2 linked regions of the Cricetulus griseus genome follow. The protein of the gene in region 1 purifies or fractionates together with the protein of each later gene. This does not show direct contact. Links are inferred from orthologs where the notes say so. Each region holds a gene or a part of one and is shown on either strand. Other genes may lie near its edges. The genes, in order: Cabin1 and Ubn1.

What was found.
Region 2: the proteins of Cabin1 (region 1) and Ubn1 purify together in Homo sapiens (affinity purification with western blotting; 6 studies listed by BioGRID, with this or other methods). This does not show direct contact. The link is inferred for Cricetulus griseus from reciprocal best matches to the Homo sapiens genes CABIN1 and UBN1.

The regions. Positions count from the first base shown.
Region 1 is NW_023276806.1:262,932,650-262,942,724, reverse strand, and holds part of Cabin1 (calcineurin-binding protein cabin-1), read right to left. Parts: intron 8,142-10,075; coding exon 7,978-8,141; intron 7,255-7,977; coding exon 7,158-7,254; intron 6,821-7,157; coding exon 6,146-6,820; intron 4,785-6,145; coding exon 4,710-4,784; intron 2,414-4,709; coding exon 2,131-2,413; intron 1-2,130. UniProt on the Homo sapiens protein: May be required for replication-independent chromatin assembly. May serve as a negative regulator of T-cell receptor (TCR) signaling via inhibition of calcineurin. Inhibition of activated calcineurin is dependent on both PKC and calcium signals.
Region 2 is NC_048600.1:41,641,047-41,651,886, forward strand, and holds the start of Ubn1 (ubinuclein-1), read right to left. Parts: upstream 6,813-10,840; 5' UTR 5,180-6,812; intron 3,074-5,179; 5' UTR 3,035-3,073; coding exon 2,786-3,034; intron 1-2,785. Other genes in the region: putative oxidoreductase GLYR1, read left to right, coding at 7,789-7,826, 8,895-8,931, 9,844-9,923. UniProt on the Homo sapiens protein: Acts as a novel regulator of senescence. Involved in the formation of senescence-associated heterochromatin foci (SAHF), which represses expression of proliferation-promoting genes. Binds to proliferation-promoting genes.

The sequences.
Region 1 (10,075 bases):
ATTTAGTCTAGTTTTGGGGGATTAACTCTGGTAAATATACACCTAGAAATAGGTACTCTTTCCCAGAGCTAACCTCCAAAGAGAAGATGTGAACTGTGGGATCTTGCTTGGAGGCAGAGAGGTGAGGGAGAGGAGGAATACAGGCAGCCAGCCTTCAAGTGGTCTTGATGTCTACTGGATGTATCTACCAGAACAGCTGACACCAATAGACTCAAAGGGCAGTGTGTGGCCCAGCGATGCTCAACTTCTGAAACTAGGTTGCAAGAGATGCTACGGCTTCCTTCTTCCTCTAGCAGAACACTAGATTGTCTACAAAGAGACCCATGAGGGAAGAGGCCCCATTAAGAACCTGGGGCTGTTACACACTCAGGTGATCAGCTAATGACCTGAATGCAACGGCATAGGAGACCTTGAACTAGGAATATTTCATCCCCAACACTGGTCTGGAGCCCAATCCCCAGACTCTGTAAAGTCATGGGACACATGGGATAAGCAGAGGGTAAGACAACCTGAGGTGAGGAGCAGGCTAGGTCTTTGGGGGCCTGAATGACCCACTAATAGCAACTAACTTTCCTGTGCCTCCTGCACTTGGAACTTACTACCACACACTGTGGCTTCGTTTGTTTGCTAAGTGTGAGGAGCTGTGATCAGACACCTGGAGGTGGAACTGTCACTTGCAGCTTTCTGACTGTTCGGTGTGGCGCCTTCGTGCATGCCAGCCTGAGCCCACCCCAGATCTTTACTGCTCTGGTCTGTGGCTTTCAGAGGATCCTCTAGAACAAATCGTGACAGAGAGCACAACTGTGAAGAACTGGGTTCCTACACAGGCACAAATCACAATGTAACCCAGGGAGTGCATGAAACCTCCGGGCCTGTCACTGAGCAGTCCGAGGCTAGCAGATGTGCAGATGAGAGGGGAGACCACACAGTCACGGCTGCAGGCAGCAGCCTCAGATGTGACTCAAAACCACAAGCAAGCCCTAAGGGATGGCTCCAGGTATGGGCAGGGGACCTTGAAACTAGGGTGTCCAGCACACAGACCAGGTCTCGAAACGTAAGAGAAAGGAGGGTGGGCAGACTGGTCTTTGGTTGGGGCAGCAAGCTACTTAGAGAACATCTTAGCTCTTTTAGGGTCTCTGGAGCCTGGCTATGGTACCAGGGTCCTGGGAATCAACAGGGAAATGCCCAAGGAGTATCTGCACCAGTGAGGAGGATGGTGCCTTACCTACTCCCTTCCCGTGTGTGCTATCTTGATGCCTTTTCCTCCTAGGAAAGAAAGTTCCTGCTTGCCTGCCACGCTGAGAGCTCCCGCCTGATTAAGCCAGCCGGTGCCACCTCTATCACATCCTGTATTTTCTTCACAAGTCCATCAACCTGGTCCTGCCTCCTTCAGCTTGTCATGCCTACACTTTGGGACAGATGTGGTCCTGAAGACTCCTGGGAGCCTCAAAGACTGCCGAGGTCTGACCCTTCCACAGAAGCCTGGCCTGCTCTAGCTCCTGATCTTCCTAGTTATCGTGGGGCTCTACTGGGGCAGAGACCAGGACAAGGGTACACTCTCCAGTTGTGGTGCCTATTCCCTGTCCTCCTCACAGCGGCTGTGCTAGTTTGAATGTAATTGGCCTCCATAAGCTCACACGGAGTGGCATTGTAGGAGGAAGTGTATTACTGTGGGGGTGGGCTTTCAGGTCTCTATGCCATAGTTCACTTCCTGTTGCCTGCAAGATGTAGGACTCTCACCTACCTTTCTAGTACCATGTCTGCCTGCATGCTGCCATGATGATAATGGACAGAACCTCTAACTGTGAGCCACCCCAATTAAATGTTTTCCTTGTAAGAGCTGCTGTGGTCATGGTGTCTCTTCCCAGCAATAGAGACCCTAACTACGATAGAGGACAAGGTTACCAGAGTTAGAGACACAGGCAGTTCCAACTAAGCCATAAATACTGCCAGCAACTGCTACCTGGACTAGCAGCTGACTGTACCAGGGTCACCCTGGTGAGAGGACCCCCCCCCGAATGCCTCTTTGCCAACTCTACAGGGGAAGCATTGCTGGTAGAGGAAGACTTGGCTATGGGAAAGCAGAGTATGAAGGTCTCGGGTGGTCAGGTAGATTGAGAGGGCACTTACCAGGACTCAGAGAGGTCATGCTGGTGGTAGCCTCTGGCCTGTGTGGCCGGGGAATTCCGGGATCTGTGGACAAGTCTGTGGTAGAGGTTGATGATGAGGGAGGGCAACTGATGACAGCTGTGGCAGAAGCCAGTACAGTTTGAGGCTTGACGTGGGAGTCACTGGGCCTCTGGAGCGCATCAGCTGGCAAGGGGTCAGGTGCTGTGGGGGCCACCGTTGCAGGGAAGAAGTTCTCTCTGCTGTCTTTGGGGTGCTTGGGGGTGGTGGGTGCATCCCCTGAGGCCTGTGGCAACATAGCAAGGTGAGGAAGGTCAACGGAACATGCATTGCCCTGTCCCAGGCCAGTCCAGTTCAGTCCCCCAGGACACTTCATCGGGGCCCTGGATGCCAACACAACGCCATGCAGCACTCTGAGGTTGTTGGTTGTGTCAGAAAGCTCGAACATTTTATCAAGACACAAGTGACCTCAGCACAGAGTTGAGAATCCAGATTCTCCTTCGCTGGAGGCATCCAACCATGCTAGCAGGGCCTCATGAAGACCTGGCTTATTTCTCTGCCCCTTCTGCAGTGCGAGTCTAGGAGAAACCCATTCTCTTATGTCTCTCTGTAGAATGCAGGGCCCAATCTTGGAGCTGTAGGGATGGGTGGTGAACCCACGAGAGTGACTTTCCAAGGGGGAAAAATGAACTAATTTATTCCCCAAGCTTGAGACCCTAAGGTATTACTAATGCTACCCCAAATTAGCCAAGCAGGCCTTTTGTTCGCCTGCAGCTTGGCCTTTGGTTTCCAGGAAGCCAGGCCCTTGGTCTCTGACTCTTCATATAGTTCCCTTTGCCTTGCCTTGGTACCCAGGGTGTTCTCTCTTCAAAATGTCTCACATGGAGACAAGTCTGCAAGTTCTGTTATGTGGTGGGTGTCTACTCCGCTGGAAGGTGAGGCAAGAAGCCAGACCTGCATCTTGGCCTCAGGAGGTCACAGGAATGCTGGCAATGTGCAAGATGGCAGACACGGGAGAGCGAGGCCTGCATCCCTACCCTGCCTCCAACCAGGAACAAGCAAGTCACTGCCTCTAAGGAGGCCACATGAGGCTGGCACATCAACTGGGACCCCAGAAAACAAAATGGAAATTCCTACAGGGGCAGGAGACTTTAGCTCTGAATGCCTGGTGTCTTCCTATTGCCCAGAGATGGACCTAGGCCATTTGTAACTGTCTCAACTGCCCTTGTCAAAATGCTCTGTGGGAACAGGGTACAGGTGGAGTGCCTTGGGAGATACTGAGAAGACCAGCCTGCCCATAGCCCCCACCCACTGGGATGATCATGGGATACTAGCGGACGCCACCACTGTTTGGTGGAGGTAAACACTTGTAATCCCAGTACTCACGAAGCTGAGGCCAGAGGATTGCCATGAATTATAGGCCAGCCTGGGCTATACACCAAACAGCAGGCTTTGTGGGCAACAATCAAGTGGTGAGGTCTACTGGCCGGTTGGTCAATCCTGCCAAGGATTCTGCTTCTCACCTAGGATGCTGACACACAGCCTGCAGGCTCAGAGATGAATCAATCCCTGTACCCCTAGACCTAGAGTCTGGACCGTGTTGATGCCCTCATGCCCCATTCTTCCAGGAGGAAGCCTCTCTGGACCCCTAAGATACTGTCAACTGCTGGGGCTCCTAGGACAAGGCATCCCCAAACTGGGCCACTCCTAGGACGAGAAGACAGACCCCACAATGCCATGGACAGTGACTGTGACTACTAACAAGAAGGCTGTTTTGCCTCTTCTGATAAGACTGACCTGCAGGCTCTCAAGGCTTGACAGGGGGTGGCTCTTAGTTCTGCCAGGTTTGCCTCCATACTCCTCCTAGGCTGTTCTGTTCCCTGGCAAGATTCAACATGAGTCCACCCCAAATCCCCCTTTTTGAGACAGGACCTGTCTATGTAGTCTTGGTTGTCCTCGAACTCACAATGTATACTAGACTGGCCTAAAACTCACAGAAATCCGCCTGCCTCTGCCTCCCGAGTGCCAGGATTATAAAGTGTGCGTCACTACGTCTGGTCACCAGGAGCTCTATCTTAAGCCTGGAGGCTGCTCTCAGCCCAGCCCAGAAGGAGCCCATGTGCTGGCCTTTCTGGCCATCTTCCTCTGCATCATCAGCTCCTGGAGACCCTGGCTTTCTATAAGCCCCTGGCCCCTGCCTCCACCCCACATTCCCTGCTGCTTCCATCCTAGTTAGCCAGGCTCTGATATCACCTGTCTACCAGTCACAGAGGTTAAGGCCCTCTCTAGATGAAGCCTAATGGCTCAATTCTGTCCGTTCTACTCGTGAAGGAGCCAAAGCAAAGCACCTTAGGATCCATATGTATGTCTGAGTCCTGTCAAGGCATTACCATTTTGGGGTCATGACCCATTATCTAGAACCCCCCACCACCCTGATGACCACTGGAACCAGCCCCGTGGCATATTTGCTTGTGGGCCTGCAGCTCAAGGCTCTGGTGTGGGTGGGACAGGTTCTGCACGAAGGGCTGGCGTAGGCTGGACGTGGGTGGTGTGCATGTGTTTGTGTACAAGACAGAACTTACCTGTCTCTGGGCAGCAGCCCCAAGGTGGACCTGACAGAACTTCACAGCCTGCTCCAGTGCAGTCTCCTCGTCCACCTGAACAGAGAGATGCCTGAAATTAGGGTACCTAGGTCATGGTGCCTGACCTGCTCGCAGCCCCGTTCCCTTAGGGGCCGTATTAACCCAGCTCAAGAAGGGCACCCTGTGTGACCTAACCTCAGTGAGGACACACCCAGCACCCGGAGTCTGTCGCCGGGGTGGGAATGCGGGCCAAAGGTCCATGTACCAATTGCTGCTGTCAGGGCTCTTCCCAGTTGGCCCTCAGGCCACATTTCCACAGCCAGTCATTTATGTCCTCCAGGACCGAGATTGACAGACGTCTCAGACCCCAATGAAGCTTTCAAATTCAGCTGAGAGCTGGGCTTTGTACATGTTTTAATGTCAGCACTTGGGAGTCAAGATGCAAGATTGAGTGTCTTAGGACAGCATAAACTACACAGTAAGACCCTGTTTCAAAACAAACCTGATCAGTTGAAGAGGCTGTTACAGGCTGGTTTCTGATCTACCTTAAGAGTGGGTTGTTGATTCCAATGGGAGGTGCCTTTTCCAAGTTCAGGTAGGACAGTAACCGTGGGCCATGCTAAGTGTGTACCACAGACTGAAAGCCTCACACATATGGAGGGCAATGATACTGGATAACTGGGGGATTATCCCGAACAAGCACACGTGGCTTCAAGGAGATGGCCACACACATACTGTCAAGTAAAGATGGGAACAGGCAATGTAGGAAACGACCAGGTCTCCCCTGCAGAAAAAGCAGCAGCATCCATACTGTTCCTAAGAATTCATGGCAGAAACAACACTAGGCAGTGGGAGAGGATCTCAAAGGTGCCATGCGGGAAAAACAACCACCAGGGACAGTCACCCCATTTGCACCAGTTGCAAGTCCTGAAGGATTCTTCCCATGGGAGTAACGTATCTACTTGTGGGGCGGGGGTCAAGCAAATCGAGAAGGTGGCAGACTCTGTGGGTTGCCATGCTTGGGCTCCTCCCAGCTCTGTTCCTTCAGCTGGGTACCATAGCCACCCATCGCAGGAAGTGGTTCAAATGTACCCAGAGGCCCCTCAGAGTACAGGGACCAGGGGCTTCCACACTCTAGGGCTGGACCTGAACTGTAGTTTAGCCTTCCTTAAAGGTTGAATCCACATGCACACCCCATTGTTTTTTGAGTCTAAACTTATTACCTACTCATCAGAGATAACACGCAAAATAAAAAACACCCTACTCTCAAAAAAGAAAAAAAAAATCAAAGTGCACAGTGGGCACAATACCTAAAGCCCACCTCAGGGGTGGGCCCTGACACATATGCCGAGAAGGAACCTTCTGGAGAACAGAAGCCCAGGCAATGAAGGCGTCTGAGACAGATGCAGCCCCAGGTTAGCACAGTGGCTGCTTACCTGCTTAATGAGCATGTAAGTCTCTGACATGATCTTCTCAATGCGGCCCAGGTCATAGGCCATGCCCTTCTGGCCCTGTTGCCACACGCGGTAGGCATCCAGCAGGAGAGTCTTGCCAGACTCTGTGTCCTCCAGGAGTTTCCTTTTGCGATTAGGCCTTGGAGGTGCCTCCTCAGGGTGGCCACCTCCCCGGGCTCCCATGGTGGGGGGAGTAGTGGTGGTGAGCGTTACTGGGCTTGGTGTAAGCGGAGTGGGTTGTTGTCGGGAGCTGATGCTCAGCTCCTCTAGGGAAAGCTCAGCAGACCGGCTCTCGGGGGGCCGGTCCCTTGGAGGGCGGCCTGGAAGCAGAGGTGATGTCTGTTCTGAGTCTGGGTGGCGAACAGCAACCTCACTGGTATCCATGAGTTCAGTGGGCCCTGCCTGGGGGTTCTCTTTGTCTTTCCGCTCCCCACCCTGGTCTGTGCTGTCCCTTGTGTCTGTGGCCATTGGCAATTGGTTGAGAGGGCCCACTTTGCCCCCTGGTTCAGGCCCTGGTCCTGAGCCATCGGCTAGAGGTAGCTTCTTGGGGTGGGGGAGGCTTTCCTGGCCATCCTCGGGACTGGCTTTGTGAGAGACATCGGTGGTCATCCTGGCTCCAGAGAGGCCACAGGGCTTGGGTCCTGGGTGTTCTAACCCCTACAAGGGGAACAGACAAGTTAGTGGTGCTTCGCCATCTCAGAGCCTCCACGAATCCCTTTACCCAGTGCCATCCTGGTTACGTACATGTGCCAGCTGGACAACACTGCGACAAGAAGGGGCTGGCCCAGGGTCCCACCCTCCTCACAAGGAAGCGCATGTTGGGGAAGGCTGGGCAATGGGACTATTTGCTTCTGGGAGGGCAGGCACAGCCTGGCTTTCCCAGAGAATTGTGATGTGAGCCTTGTGGGAGGCTGACATGGAAAAAGGCCCTGTGCAGGGCCACCAGTGGCCCCTAATACACAGGCCTGGGCTGAGGTGGGGCAGGCTGACATACCCCTGCAAGCTCACTCAGTGTGTCCTCCAGCACTTTCACAGTGAGGATGAAAGCCCGCTGGGCCAGGACCTGGCGGTCAGCATCTCGTAGGTATTTCCTGCGGTCACATGGGGACAGAAAGAGTGGGACAGTGTCAGAAACCATATAGTGCAGCTAAGTGGTGAGCCGCACTTATCCCACAAGCACTAGTGACTATTCCCACCTATTTAAGTCTGTTCCCCCAAAGTGCCCTTTGAACCTCATATTTCATATTCAACAAGCCTCTGACTTGGTCCCAGTGACCACCCTGAGCCCTCTGGACTTACAGGTTAGCCAGAGATCAGTGCTATGGTGGGCTAAGTGCCGGCTCAAGGAAGGCTTGGGGGCGAAGTTCTTCTCCCTCAGGTTGGTTTCTGGGATAATGCTTTACAGACAGCCTAGCCCAGCTGTGGCAGACACCCTCTGTTCCGTGTGTCCCATCCTTCTGGCCAATGAAACCCTGACAGTTCTTGAGGTCCAGGATCTCTGCTGTCCACCTATTTCCCTGGGGTGCCAAGGCTATTTTCTGAATGTCTACTCCCTATAGCCCACACTAGTCAGTGCCTCTGAGAGACCCAGGTTGGGCAGAAGGGGGAGGAGGTCTCTAAACGTGCAGACTATTGACATGTTAGTCCTAGGGTGCTCGAGGCAGAGGTGGAGTTTTGAATTCTAGATACTAAGAGATGTCCCTCAGGGAAGGCTGTGGTTTCTGGACTAAAAGATCCCCGAGCCAAGTGGTAGCAGTGGGGACAAGCCTGAGAAGATGGCCAGCCAGGCTGTGTGTGGTGGCCCGCTCACTCACTTGCCCTGGTCTGGTGTCCGCTGCAGCATGGAGGACACCTTCAACAGGGTGCTGTGGTCCCGGAGCTGGGCTAGAACCTTGAGGAGCAGCACGATGGAACGGTTCATGTGCCAGGCAAAGCTGCCTGGCCGGTCAATCTCATCCACGGGGATCCGCCAGATGCCCTATGGGATGGGCAAGGACAGGCTAAGGAAGGCTGCCGTATCTCTGGAGCCGTGGGGACACCCCTCCTGAGGTTCCCTCAAGCCTGCCACTGTGCATAGGGTCTAGCCAGGGACCTCTCAGCCTCTTCTTGTCACCCAGAAGAGGACAGGTATATGGCTGCCTCTACCTGTTCCCTCCTCATCCATGGCAGAGGACAGTACAAGCGAGGCTCTATAGCCAATTTTCCAAGGCAAAGTCCTACTGAGTGGGCTGAGTCTGCCTTACTCACCATCCTCCTGCCTCAGCCCCCTCTCTCTGTTGTATGGCTGTATCCCACATGCTCACTGGACCTGTTCCCTATGGTGGCTTCCATACCGGGCATACATTTCTCTGCACAGGTATTGGTAAAGATACAGAAACAACTCCCGGGGGAGGGATGCTGAGCCAGAGGGGACCGGTTACATTCTAGCTGCTGCTGGAGGCCAAGCCCCTACAGTCTCACTTCCCTCAGCTCCGTTCCCCTACTGCAGCGCCAAAGATACCCAGGCCCCCACCACTTGAGTCATATCAGTTGGTTTTGGTAGAATCTCTCCTCTCTTCTCTCAGTCCACATCTAACCATGAGGCGTTGTCCACCAGCCCTCCCTCCCTCACAACCTGCGGTCTCCTGATGACAAGCCTGGGATCTGACAATCACTTGGGGTCCATCAGGGTGCAGGGGCAACACGGGTGCCAGAGGTAAGAAGTGATGAGTGAACCCACACTTAATGAGACCTATCTGACACAGGAACTCGGCAGCCTGGAAGAAGCTGGCAGATCCCTGTGGGGTCCCTGTAGCCAATCACTGGAGAAGCTCTGGCTAGCACAGGCCCTGGATCTTGACAGGCTTCGTTTTGGGTTTTTCGGATCTCAAGTGCCAGTCATAGGGATCAGAGTAGCATCCATGTGGTGCTCTGTTCTCATGGCAGCTTGCTATTAGCATTCCATGCACTGAAGTGTAAACCCGTGCTCTGGCGGGCCAAGGGGATGGGGAGGAAGGAGAGCCGGAGACGCTTAGCGCCCCGAGTCCCTAGCCCCACAGCCTCCATTCTGGGCCACAAGGATGTCTAGGGGCTGAGAATATCCACACCCAGGACAACAAACACCATTACATATTATGTCCATCTATAAAAGCTCATAAAAAGCCACACGGGGTATGCATATATGTTACTCTCAACTACAGCAGTGTGGGACCCCAGGAACCTCTCTGCTCCTAGGGCTGATGCCAGCCTAAGATAGCCTACAGTGGCCATGAAGGTATTCAGCAGTTGCAGCAGTGCAAGGCTAGGAGAGGGCTTCATTTTGTGAGGAGACGTCACAGACACCATACACGGAGATCTCATCACAGACATGCAATAGACTGTGGAGCGCAGAGACACGGAATGGACCTCCTGGAGCTATAGACTCAAGGGGCTACCCAGAACTGAGTGGCCCTCACCACCCACAGTTTTGAGGAAAAGATCCCTGTGGGTCTTCACAGGGAAGCCTGCATACCTGGCTGCAGCAGCCCTTGAGGCTGGGTGGTAGGGAGAGCCACCCTGAGATCTGGTGTGACCAGGTGCCCTTTTCCAGATATCCTTCCAACCTGGAGAGGCCTGGACTCAACCTGGATCCAGATGTCTCCCACTTTCTTCAGACCTGAGAATGGCAGAGGGTCTGCCTGACTTCTCAGAGATGCATGCAGAGCCAGGCACAGTGGTGCCCACTGTACTTCTAGTGCTCAGGAGGCAGAGGCAGAGGCAGGCAGATCTAAGTCTAAGGCCAGCCTGGTCAGCACAGCAACTTCCAAGCCAGCCAGGGCTACATGGAGAAACCAGATCTCAAGACACCCCCCCGCCCATTTGCATTTGCTCATCTCAACTGTGCGGAGTAGTACCATGACTAGAATGAGGCTGACTGACCTCCAGGAGCAGGGA
Region 2 (10,840 bases), on another chromosome or scaffold:
GCATGTGCTTAATCTCAGCACCCAGAAGGTGGAAGGAAGAAGGTGGTTCAGGAATTCAAGGGCATCTTGCTATATGGTAAATTGAGAAGCCAGCCTGGGATACATGAGACCCTGCCTCAAAAAAAAAAAAAAAAACAAAAAAACAAACAAAAACAAACAAACAAACAAACAAAAAAAAAAAAACAAAAAAACTCTATACATTTTTATTTAAGAAAAGTGGGTAGGCCGGGCGTTGGTGGCGCACGCCTTTAATCCCAGCACTTGGGAGGCAGAGGCAGGTGGATCTCTGTGAGTTTGAGACCAGCCTGGTCTACAAGACCTAGTACCAGGACAGCCTCCAAAGCCACAGGGAAACCCTGTCTCGAAAACCAAAAAAAAAAAAAAAAAAAAAAAAAAAGAAAGAAAGAAAAGTAGGGAATTCTTCTAACTAGACATGGTTCCTCCAAACACCCCTAAAATGAGTCAGACTAAATGAGTACTTGGCACTAAGACACTATGCTAGAGACTTTACTGATATGATCTCACTCCACCCTCAAACACTGTGAGCCAGGTGCTAGCCTCATCCTTGTTCTAGTAAAAACCACTCTAGAGAACAAAATGCCACAAGTATGATCCTACTCACCTTCTACTCCTAACCTAACACAGTAACTAATATACAGTAAATGCTTAAAATGCTCTTCGTCTAGCTCTACTCATGATATATAATTCCACATACAAAAATACAAAGATATGCAAAACTGGTCTTGATTAACAGTGGTAGTCTGTAAGGAAGGCGCACCGTGTTCTTTGAGGCAAGCAGAAGCGCTTTTAGTATCCTGCTAAATGTTGTATTTTGTGAATCGTGTATAGGTTGCATGGCTTGTGCTGAGTTTGTGAAAATCCACAAACTTTATCATATGTATTCTTCCTGTATGTATGACTCAACTAAAAATTGTATTTAGATTATTTTAGTTGGGATACAGTGGTATAAGCATGCAATCCCACCATTTAGGAGTCTGCCACAGGAGAATCTTAAATTCAAAGTCATCCTGGGTTATAAAGTAAGACTATATGCTACTTGATTTTTCTGTCAGCTTGACACAAGCTAGAGTGATCTTGGAAGAGAGACTTCAACAGAGAGTGTCCATCAGATTGACCTGTAGGCAAGTGGGGGGGAGGGGGGTATTTTCTTGATTAATGACTGATGTGGGAATAGTCAGTTCTGGGTGGTGACACCCCTGGCAGGTAGCCCTAGGTTGTATAAGAAAGGAAACTAAGCAAGACAAAAGAAACAAGCCAATAAATGGTATTCTTCCATAACTCCTGTTTCTGTTGCCTTAACTTCCCTGTAGTGTCAGCTGTAAACTGAAATAATCCTTTCCTCCTCCTCAAGTTGCTTCTGTGTGTCTATCACAACAATAGAAAGCAAACAAAGACACTGTTTGAAACCATATAAAAACACACACACTTTAAAAAATGTTAATGAGCCAGGTAATGGCAGAGGCAGGTGGATGGATCTCTGTGAGTTCAAGGCCAGCCTGGACTACAGAGCTAGTTCCAGGAAAGCCAAGGTCACACAAAGAAATCCTATCTCAAAAAAAAAAAAAAAACAAAAACAAAAAACAAAAACAAAACAAAACAAAAAAAAAGAAAAGAAAGGGGAAGGAAGGAAGGAAGGAAGGAAGGAAGGAAGGAAGGAAGGAAGGGGAAAAGGAAAAGAAAGAAACAAAAGAAGTTAATGAATAGGCAACACTGTAACAGTTGAAGATGGGTAACAGGTACATGGCTGTGGCTTATACTGTACTCTCTACTTCCATGCTTATTTGAAAGCACACATGTTTGGAAGTTCCATACTAAAAAAAAAAATAAAATAAATGTGCCAAGAAAAGAAATACATCAAGGCTGGTGAGCCTAAGTCAGCCTAGGCAACATGAGACTCTTGGCATTTCCTACCAAGTATGATACCCTGAGTTTCATTCCCAGGTCTTACATAATGGAAGGAGAGTTCTAACTCCCACAAGTGTTATGTTTTCTCTCTGGGTGTCTCTCTCTCTCTCACACACAAACCCCACATCCCCTCCCCATAGCAAAAAAAAAAGTTAAAAATTTAAAAAAAAAAGAAACAACCCTCTTCTGCTGTGCAGGTATACATGCAGCACTGTATACACAATAAATACAACTTTAAAAAAAAAAAAAAGAAAAAGATCAGTTACAAATAATTTTTAAGGAACCAAACTTATTTCCAAACAGCTTGAAGCCTACAAAGTCAATTATGGCAAAAAAAAAAAAAAAAAAAAAAAAGTATTAAGAGTTTAGGCGGAGCAGTGGTGGCAGACTCCTTTAATCCCAGAACTCGGGAGGCAGAGGCAGATGGATCTCTGTGAGTTTGAGGCCAGCTTGGTCTACAAAGTGAATGCCAGATTAGGCTCCAAAAGCTACACAGAGAAACCCTGTCTCGGGGGAAAAAAAAAAAGAAAAAGAAAGAAAGAAAGGAAGAAAGAAAGAAAGAAAGAAAGAGGAAAAAAGAAAGAAAAAGAAAAACACAGAAGCAGATTTTTATGCATTCAGAAACAGAAACTACTCAAGATAGTACTGGGCTACTTGTCAGAAGAGATATGCATAAGTCAAGAGAAGGATTCTTAAAAGAATTCTCTTCCCACCCAGTTTTTGCTCTAGATCAGTGGTAATCTTGGGGAAGCCCAGGCCTCTCTAGCCTCACCTCTCTGATATAAAGAAAGGCCCATGTGAACATTTTGGTATCTTCATGTTAGGTCTGCAGAGCAACTCTGGATCTACTGGCATGTACCTTGTCTCCAGGATGAAGGCCTTTCACCTTCCCTCGGATGTTCTTCACCAACTCTGGGTAGAAGAACTCTGGGCAGCGTTTATGATCTGGTTCAAAGAGGGTGAGTGTAATCCGAACAGCAGCTGCAGCTGGCTCACAGTCTTGATGCTGTTCTGTTCCTCCAACTTCCTCTTTCCTGGACTTCTTCAAAAATGCAGGATTCAAAGAACCTGGGAGAGAGGTGAACTGGACCCTGTGGGGCTCCGACATGGCTACCAACAAGTCTTAGCAGGTGTCACTGCATGATTTCTGTTAATATTGAAAAGAAGGCCCAGGTCAAACTAAAATAACAAAGATAAACATTTTTAAAATAGCAAAAATAGTTGTCAATTACACAAATTTAAAAAAATTTCCTTGTCAAGAAGAATTGATTGATAAATTTTCCTTAACTCATTTAAGTAAATAGTTGTAAATATAAATTTTCCCTATTTTAGAAATAATCCCACATCAAATAATTCAGGTCAAAAGCCTGTGTATTGATGCAGTCAAACTTTGTTGTTTTGTTTTGTTTTTTTTCTCATATCCTTTGTGCCTAGAAAGCCCTTTGCAAACAGACCATATAGAAGAAATCACACTGTCAGTCTTTTATAGATATTCACTTTTAACTCTAACCTAAATTGAACTTAATATGCTCTAAGGTCTAAGGTCTGAGAATAGGATCTAACTTGTTTGTTCCCCAGTACCAATTACTGAATAAGCTTCCTTTCCCTGCTGATTTGTCATAGACCATAGCAGACCTTATATACTTATGGTCCATGCTAAAAGCCATGTTACATTAATCAAGTACTTGAAAGATTCTTTAACTAGTACTGCTCTGTCTTGGAAACTCTTATACTTTTAGTATACTAAAATTAAAAGTTCATCTTTATTTTCTTTTTAAAAATAATGACTGGGGGATGGAGAGATGGCTCAGTGGTTAAGATCATGGGCTATTCTTCCAATGGACCCAGGTTTAATTCCTAGCACCCACATGATAGCTCACAACTGTCTGTAACTCCAAGATCTGACACCCTCAGATAGACATACATGCAGGTAAAACACCAATGCACATAAAAATAAATTATCAAAAAATAATAATAACTGGCTTTTAACCTATTTCAGAACAATTTTAGACTCATTTGTGCAAGTCCCCTCCAAAATGTGACTGTACTTCACAAAACAAACAATAAATACGAATTCAGGATGATTTGTCTATTTCCGTGGGGGGGGGGATATAGTCAAAATTCATTATCATCGTAACAAGGTGATAAAGATCAGATAAGGGAGTAAAAACTATACAAAAGACTTTTAAAAAAATCCTTCTAATCAGGCACGAAGCAGTAAAATAGATTGGCCTATAGAAAATGGTTACCAACATGCACTAGGATACTGGGAAAAAAGAACCCAAAAAGAAACTTCCAAAGGTCTCAGGACATTGGTGAAAATTCACCTGACTGTGAAAATAAACCTGAACTGAAAGTTAAAGACTTATAGGCTCCCCAGTGAGAGGAAGCACAATCTTACTGTAAGAAACGATCAGCAAGTTACTCAATTGGATGAAGAAAGTGGCAACCAGATCCTAGTCTTTCTGTCTAGCCAAAAATTTTAAAATGTAGCCTCATCTCAGTACAGGTTTTTAGAGGGCTCGCCTCAAACCCACACAGCCAGTAACAATACTCCTGTTAGCTATAAAAGTCTGTGCAAGCTTTAGCCAGCAGGAGACAGACTAGAGGACAAAGTAAATCACTTATTAACGCTTACAAGTCAGATTTTGGTTAAGAAGTTTTATGATCATCACAACATACTATTCTGTTCTTGGGCTAGGCCATTTGAAACAATTTAAGACAATCAGATATATATTAAAGGTCATGTTAAACTTATGTATTTAATTTCAAATACTTAAGAAAATGTAATTAAGTTCTAAAGTCCATACAAGAACCCAAATTGCACTTATACAATTAAATTTATGAGTTATGATCTTGGAAAGAACTTACTATAAGGCTTACAAGTTTATCTCTTTAGAAATATGAAGTAGCAGGGCAGTGGTGGCACATGTCTTTAATCACAGCACTCAGAAGGCAGAGGCAGGTAGATCTCTGTGAATTTAAGGCCAAGAACTATAGCCTGATCTACAGATCAAGTTCCAGGAAAGCCAGGGCTGGAAACATCCCCACCCTCACAACCAGAAGAAAAAAGAAAAGAAATAAGAAGTATCTGAGAGAATTAAGAAAAAAACTACTGTAACTTAAAATACTTAAGAGAATTAACCTGGTTTAAAATAGTTAAGAAAGTTTAATCTGTTTAAACTGGTGTTGTCTCAAGCATTTGTCCAAGTTTTACTTTTACATGCATGTGTGTGCATGTGTGAAAACTTACAGAAGTTGGTTCTCTCATTTCATCATGTGGGTTCCAGGGACTGAATGTAGGTCTTCAGGCTTGGAGGCAGGCACCCTTATCTGCTGAACCATCTTGCAGACCCTCAAGTAATTTTTTGACATATAAATTCTTAAATTTGTAAACAAAACATTAATGAAATTTCACAAGTCTTAAAAATAACTAAGAATGGGCTGGAGATGTAGCACAGTAGAGTACTTTCCTAGTACTCTGGAGGCCCTGGGTTCAATTGCCAGTGTTAACCTGGGAATAGTAATATACACCTGTAAACTCAGTATTGTGGAGGCAGAGGCAGGAGGATCAGAAGTTTAAAATTACTCTTGGCTACATAAGGAGTTGAAGGCCAGCTTGGATTACATGAAACTATCTCCAAATAAAATGACAAAAAGGGGGGGGAAAAAAACAAACACAAACCTAGAGATTAGGGTTTGTTCCTTTGTTTTTTTGAGACAGGGTCTCTCCATATAGCCCTGGCTGTGAGATTAGGTTTTAAATATTCCGAATGAGTTAAGCATTAGAATGCCACAAAGGGGGAGGAAAATTCTTTTTAAAAAGGATTGTGGCTAGAGAGGTGGTGGTTCATGCCTTTAATCCCAGTAGAAGCAGGCAGATCTTTTTGAGTTTGAGGCCAGTCTGGTGTACAGAGTGAGTTTCCAGAACAGCCAGGACTACAGAGAAGCCCTGCCTTGAAAAACCAGGAGGGAAAAAGATTATGCAAAACCCACTGGATTCCTCTGTAGCTCCAGGTATTCCCAGGGACTGTTTGTTTTTGTTCTCACACATTCTTAACCATTTTACTTTTTGAACAGACTACTGATGAAACAGAGAAACGTGTATGCTAATTTTATCACTAATTTTTCCTTATTTAATGGCTTTTCTTTTTTGTTGCAAAATGCAGTTTTATTATCTGCAAAAATGACAATTTTCCTTTCACATTTATTTTTGCTTCCTACCTTATTTCATTAGCTTGAATTAGATAGCTGTCTTATTTCATTAGCTAGAATTAGACAATGTATCCTTTGCCCTATTCCTTACTTTAATGGGATCACTTCTAGGTCTACTTGTAAAGATTCACAATTAAAGTCATTAAAATATTTTTTAATTCCTCCAAAATTCTATTTCTAAATTAAGAACACTTGTTGAAATTTATTAAGTAATTTTATGAAATATTAAATACATTTTAAATGGTCAGTTTGTGTTTAAAATAACACAGTGTAAATGAAAGCCCTGCAACTAATCTGTGGTATTTCTGAAAAACTTGTTTCCAAAGGGGAAAAAAAAAAAAACAACAGGCTGGGGTTAACCCAAGGCGCCCACCCAGCTTCACCTTACGGTCCCCAGAGCAATTTACAATCAAAGCCTCTACATGGGGACACTGCCTTAGGGAAATGGGCACGACCAGACACCTTCCGAGCGGGCACTGACTCAAGAGAGTAAGCTGTAAGTTAAGTCCACCCTTAAGTCCAAGTACACCCAGCCGTCTGTTCTAGGAGTGAGACTTTCTTACTCAAAAGTCAGGCTTCAACCACGTCTGAGGAAGTTAGGGCAGCCGCCCTGCCCCTGGGCAGCTAACAGTTCCCACTACCCTGTCATCTGTCTTCCAGCTGTCACAACTTCTTGCAAAGTGAGACATTACTTACAAAGGCTAACGCGGGAGGCTGGACCGGACCGCGGCACACACCGTTGTCCACAGAGCCGACGCGGGCCGCAGACGTCCCCCCGTGGCGGTCCTCATGCCGGCCCGGGACCCCCGGGCTGCGGCGCGGCTCAGCGGCCAGCTCCCGAGCGCTGCATGCGGGCGCGCGGAGGGCCCGCGCCGCAGCCCATGGCCGGGTCCCCAGCCCGTGGGAAGGGAGCCTCTCTACAAACCGCCGCTTTCTCTCGCCAGCCGGACGGGGGGGGTGGAGGGGGGAGCCGAGATATGCCAAGTCCACGTCCAAGAAAACAAGTCAGGCGACGCCGAGGACGCTTGGCGCGGATGCCGCTCCGGAAACCGACCGTCGAGCGGGGCGCTCCTCAGCAGGCTGGAGCTCCCGCCCCGAGCGCGGGCTCGCGGGAAACCAGTGCCTCTCGGGCCCGCGGCTTGGACCGAGACGGGCTTCCAGGCCGCGCCGGGGTCAGTCAGGGCAGCACACGAGCTCCAAGACCCGTCCACCCGGCACCTCAGGCTCAGGAACGGCCCGGGGCCCGCGCCCGACTAACGGCCGTAACGGAAGCGGCAAGAAAGACTTGAGATGAGTCCAGAGCCCCGGAAGCGAGGTTGGGCAGCTCAGTCGGCTTCCTTTCGCGCTAGTCCGGCCGCGCCGCCTCCGCCGCGGCTGCTTTGGACCGTGGACGCTTCGTTGTCACGAGCCGGAGGGAGGAGGGGACAGGAGCCTGGAGTCTCTGGTTTTCGACGCGCTGAGAGCGCGGCGCTTAAGTCACGGGTCTCCAAGCCGCCCAATGAGCGCCAGCGACGCGGTGACGTCAGCGCACCCGCTTGGCGGATGACAGCAGGCCCCCGTCACGTGGTCAGGCCCACTCCAATGGGCGGTGCCGCGGCGACCTGAAGTTCCCGGCTGCCTGTGCGGCGGCGGTGGTTGGGTGGTAAGATGGCGGCTGTGAGTCTGCGGCTCGGCGACTTGGTGTGGTGAGTCCCGGCGGCCAGGGCTGAGGGAAAGACGGCGCGAAGCTGTTTTTCCTAGGTGCGGCGTTTGCGGCTGGCCCAGGAGTTGCTTTATTATGCGCTCTTGGCGGCGGAGACTGGGGAAGACGAGGTGCCGCCGTGCTGCGAACGACGCTTGGGCGGAAGGGGCTGTCCGGTCCCCGGGGGACCGAGGCCGAGGGTGGCCGCGGCGATCCGGGCTCTGAACCCCGAGGCCATCCCAGGGGAGGCCTATGGCTCTGGAACCCGGACGCTGGCTGCCAGTGCAGAGAACTCCGTTGTCGCGCGGGTTCCCGAGTCCCGGGTCGCTCCGGGGCTCCTCTCAAAGCCAGAGAGGCTACCTCGCGGGGGACAGAGCCGTCCAAACCGATGGGACAGACGTGGGCTCGAGGCTCGGTTCCAGGTGGCGAAATCAGACTGCCTGGAGCTGCCCCATGAAGAAACCGAGGGGAGGGGGCACTTCTCCTTTGCAAATGATAGCTAGGCGGTGACCAGTGCCTCTTGTTCTGTTCCTTGTGTCCCCGACAACAGCCAGAATCAAGACTGACCATTGTCTCCTTGGAGCTGCGTAGTTTCCCGACCTAGAGGAAGGTTTCCATGATCATTTGTCAAAGGAAGGCTGAATTAAACCAGACTTAGGGGAAGTCTGTTTACGGAGAGAACTGTATCCAACCCTGTCACTGGGACGCCCCAGACCACCGACTCTTAATGCTTTTGTTATTCTATATTCCTTCTCAGTGAAAGAATGCACAGACCTCAGCGCGGGTGCGGGCGTGTGTGTGTGTGTGTGTGTGTGTGTGTGTGTGTGTGTGTGTGTGTGTGTGTGTGTGTGTGTGTGTGTGTGTGTGTGTGTGTATGTTTACACACAACTTTCTGTATTCCATGTGTGAGGGTCCTCAACCCATCTGTGGAAGGCCCAGTTTGCCTGCTTTTGTTCTGGCCCTTGAAAGTGCCAGGCTGGAGTTATAGGAGTATAAACTGCTTGTTGAGTGGACTGAAGGAGATGGACTGGCTTTTCCAGGGCAAGTTCTGACTCTGTATTATTTTCTCTAGGGGAAAACTGGGCCGATATCCTCCCTGGCCAGGAAAGGTGAGTGTATTGCTGCTATTAAAGGAAGACATCTGAAGTTGAAGTTAGGGTTGTGGGAGAATGTGTTGCGTTTCCCTTAATCTCCCAACACTGACTTAAAATGGGCTTGTTCAGATAAGACTTAGTATTTTACTTCTAGTTATCAGTTTTGAAGGAATATCATAAACCAGAGTGTTTAATGTGCAGTAATCACATCTTCAGTCAGAGATGGTTTGTGAAATTTGTTGTTGTTTTTTATCTTGGAAATCAATTGTGATCAGAATGTAGCATTGTGTTTAAATCTAAGAGAGAAGAAACAGATTCTCCAGGAAGAGAGAAGTCTAAATGTAGGTTAGTGAAAAGCCAAAGTATTTTTGTCCCAACTAAGTTTAAATCTTCTCCTGTTACCATATGTGCTGCTCCAGTGCATATCTGCAGAAGTTGACATTCCAGATTTTTCAAGAGGTGATCCATCAGAGCTTTCCAAATGTTCTGGTTTTTTAGTCTTGCTAGCAGTCCAGGAAATGTCTGTAGACTTTTTGCAATATGGTGTTTCCTATGCCTCAGTGGTCCTTTATTTTCACCATCTCCTGTCTTTAACTCTTGCTGCACTGAAAGTATTTTGAAGAATGTTTTCTGTTTCTTCATTGATCACATGTATACATTGATCACATTGTATACCAGGAGCCATTGAAGTAAAAACTGTATCTACTAAACAGTACACAATCTGTTAGCTATGGGTTATTTAAGAAATAATTTCTTCACATCGAAATAGAAAAGTGCCAGATATGGGACAAATATAAAGCTTTGGTTTCTTTGTTTTGTTTTTGTCTTTTTTTTTTTTTTTATTCCCTAGCCTAGTTAGAGCTATAGCAAATTACCTTTCTAGTAGGCTGCTATGTTATCATACCTTTTTTCCCTTTTATCCTTCAGATTGTTAATCCACCTAAGGACTTGAAGAAACCACGTGGAAAGAAATGCTTCTTTGTGAAGTTTTTTGGAACAGAAGACCAGTGAGTAGTACTCCCTGAGAGTTCATGATATCTTTGGGTTTTTCTCTGAGTCTGAGCTGCTTTGGGAATGTTCTGAGACTCCTTAGTTCAGGCTTGCTAAAGTGTGTGTGAAAAAATGGCACCTCATTCTGGCTTCATGCCTAAATAAAATGTGGTATTCTTTCTTTCATAACTGGCAAAAATTATTCTGGGGTGAATTATTATTCACCTCTTACCCGAGGGAGCAATATCCCTCAGGTAAGAACCAGAGTTTATAACTTTCTACATATTATAGGCACTTTGAAGTAGTTTCTTATATCTTCAACATTTCCCGATCGCTTCTCTCTCTCATCAATTTTTTAAAAATTGTGTGGCCTTATGGATGAAACCTAGAGCCTTGCCCAGACTAAACAAGCCATTGACCACTGAACTACATCCCCAGATGATTTCTTTTAATGACTATGTAGTATGGTCTGGTTCTGAGGTACACTGAAAGCTAAGATGTTATTTAATAAAATACTTTATTTCCCAATATGTGCTGTACTGGAGGAATCTAGAATCATTACTTTGAGGTCTTTGATATTACAGAAAGCAGTTTAAGAAGTTACACAGAGGGAAGAATGTGTATTAACTTGAATTTACAGTGGCTTAACTCTCTCCTCAGTACAAGATGATTGCCTAATTCTGGCTAGATAACCTGATTTCTTTAAGCTATTGTTTTTGTATTTATAACTCTTAAAAGAAAAATGTTACTTTAAGTTTAAAAAATGATTTTTCTGCTAAATCTGACACTATGGCTAAAATATTAATTCCTTAAAAGCAACATATAATATTATATATGAAAGGCCCTAACGGATTGCTTTACACATTGAGGAGTTTAAGTGTTGGAGTACTCTTCCAGGTTTCAGTTTGCATAGTATGTTGACCTTCACAGTACA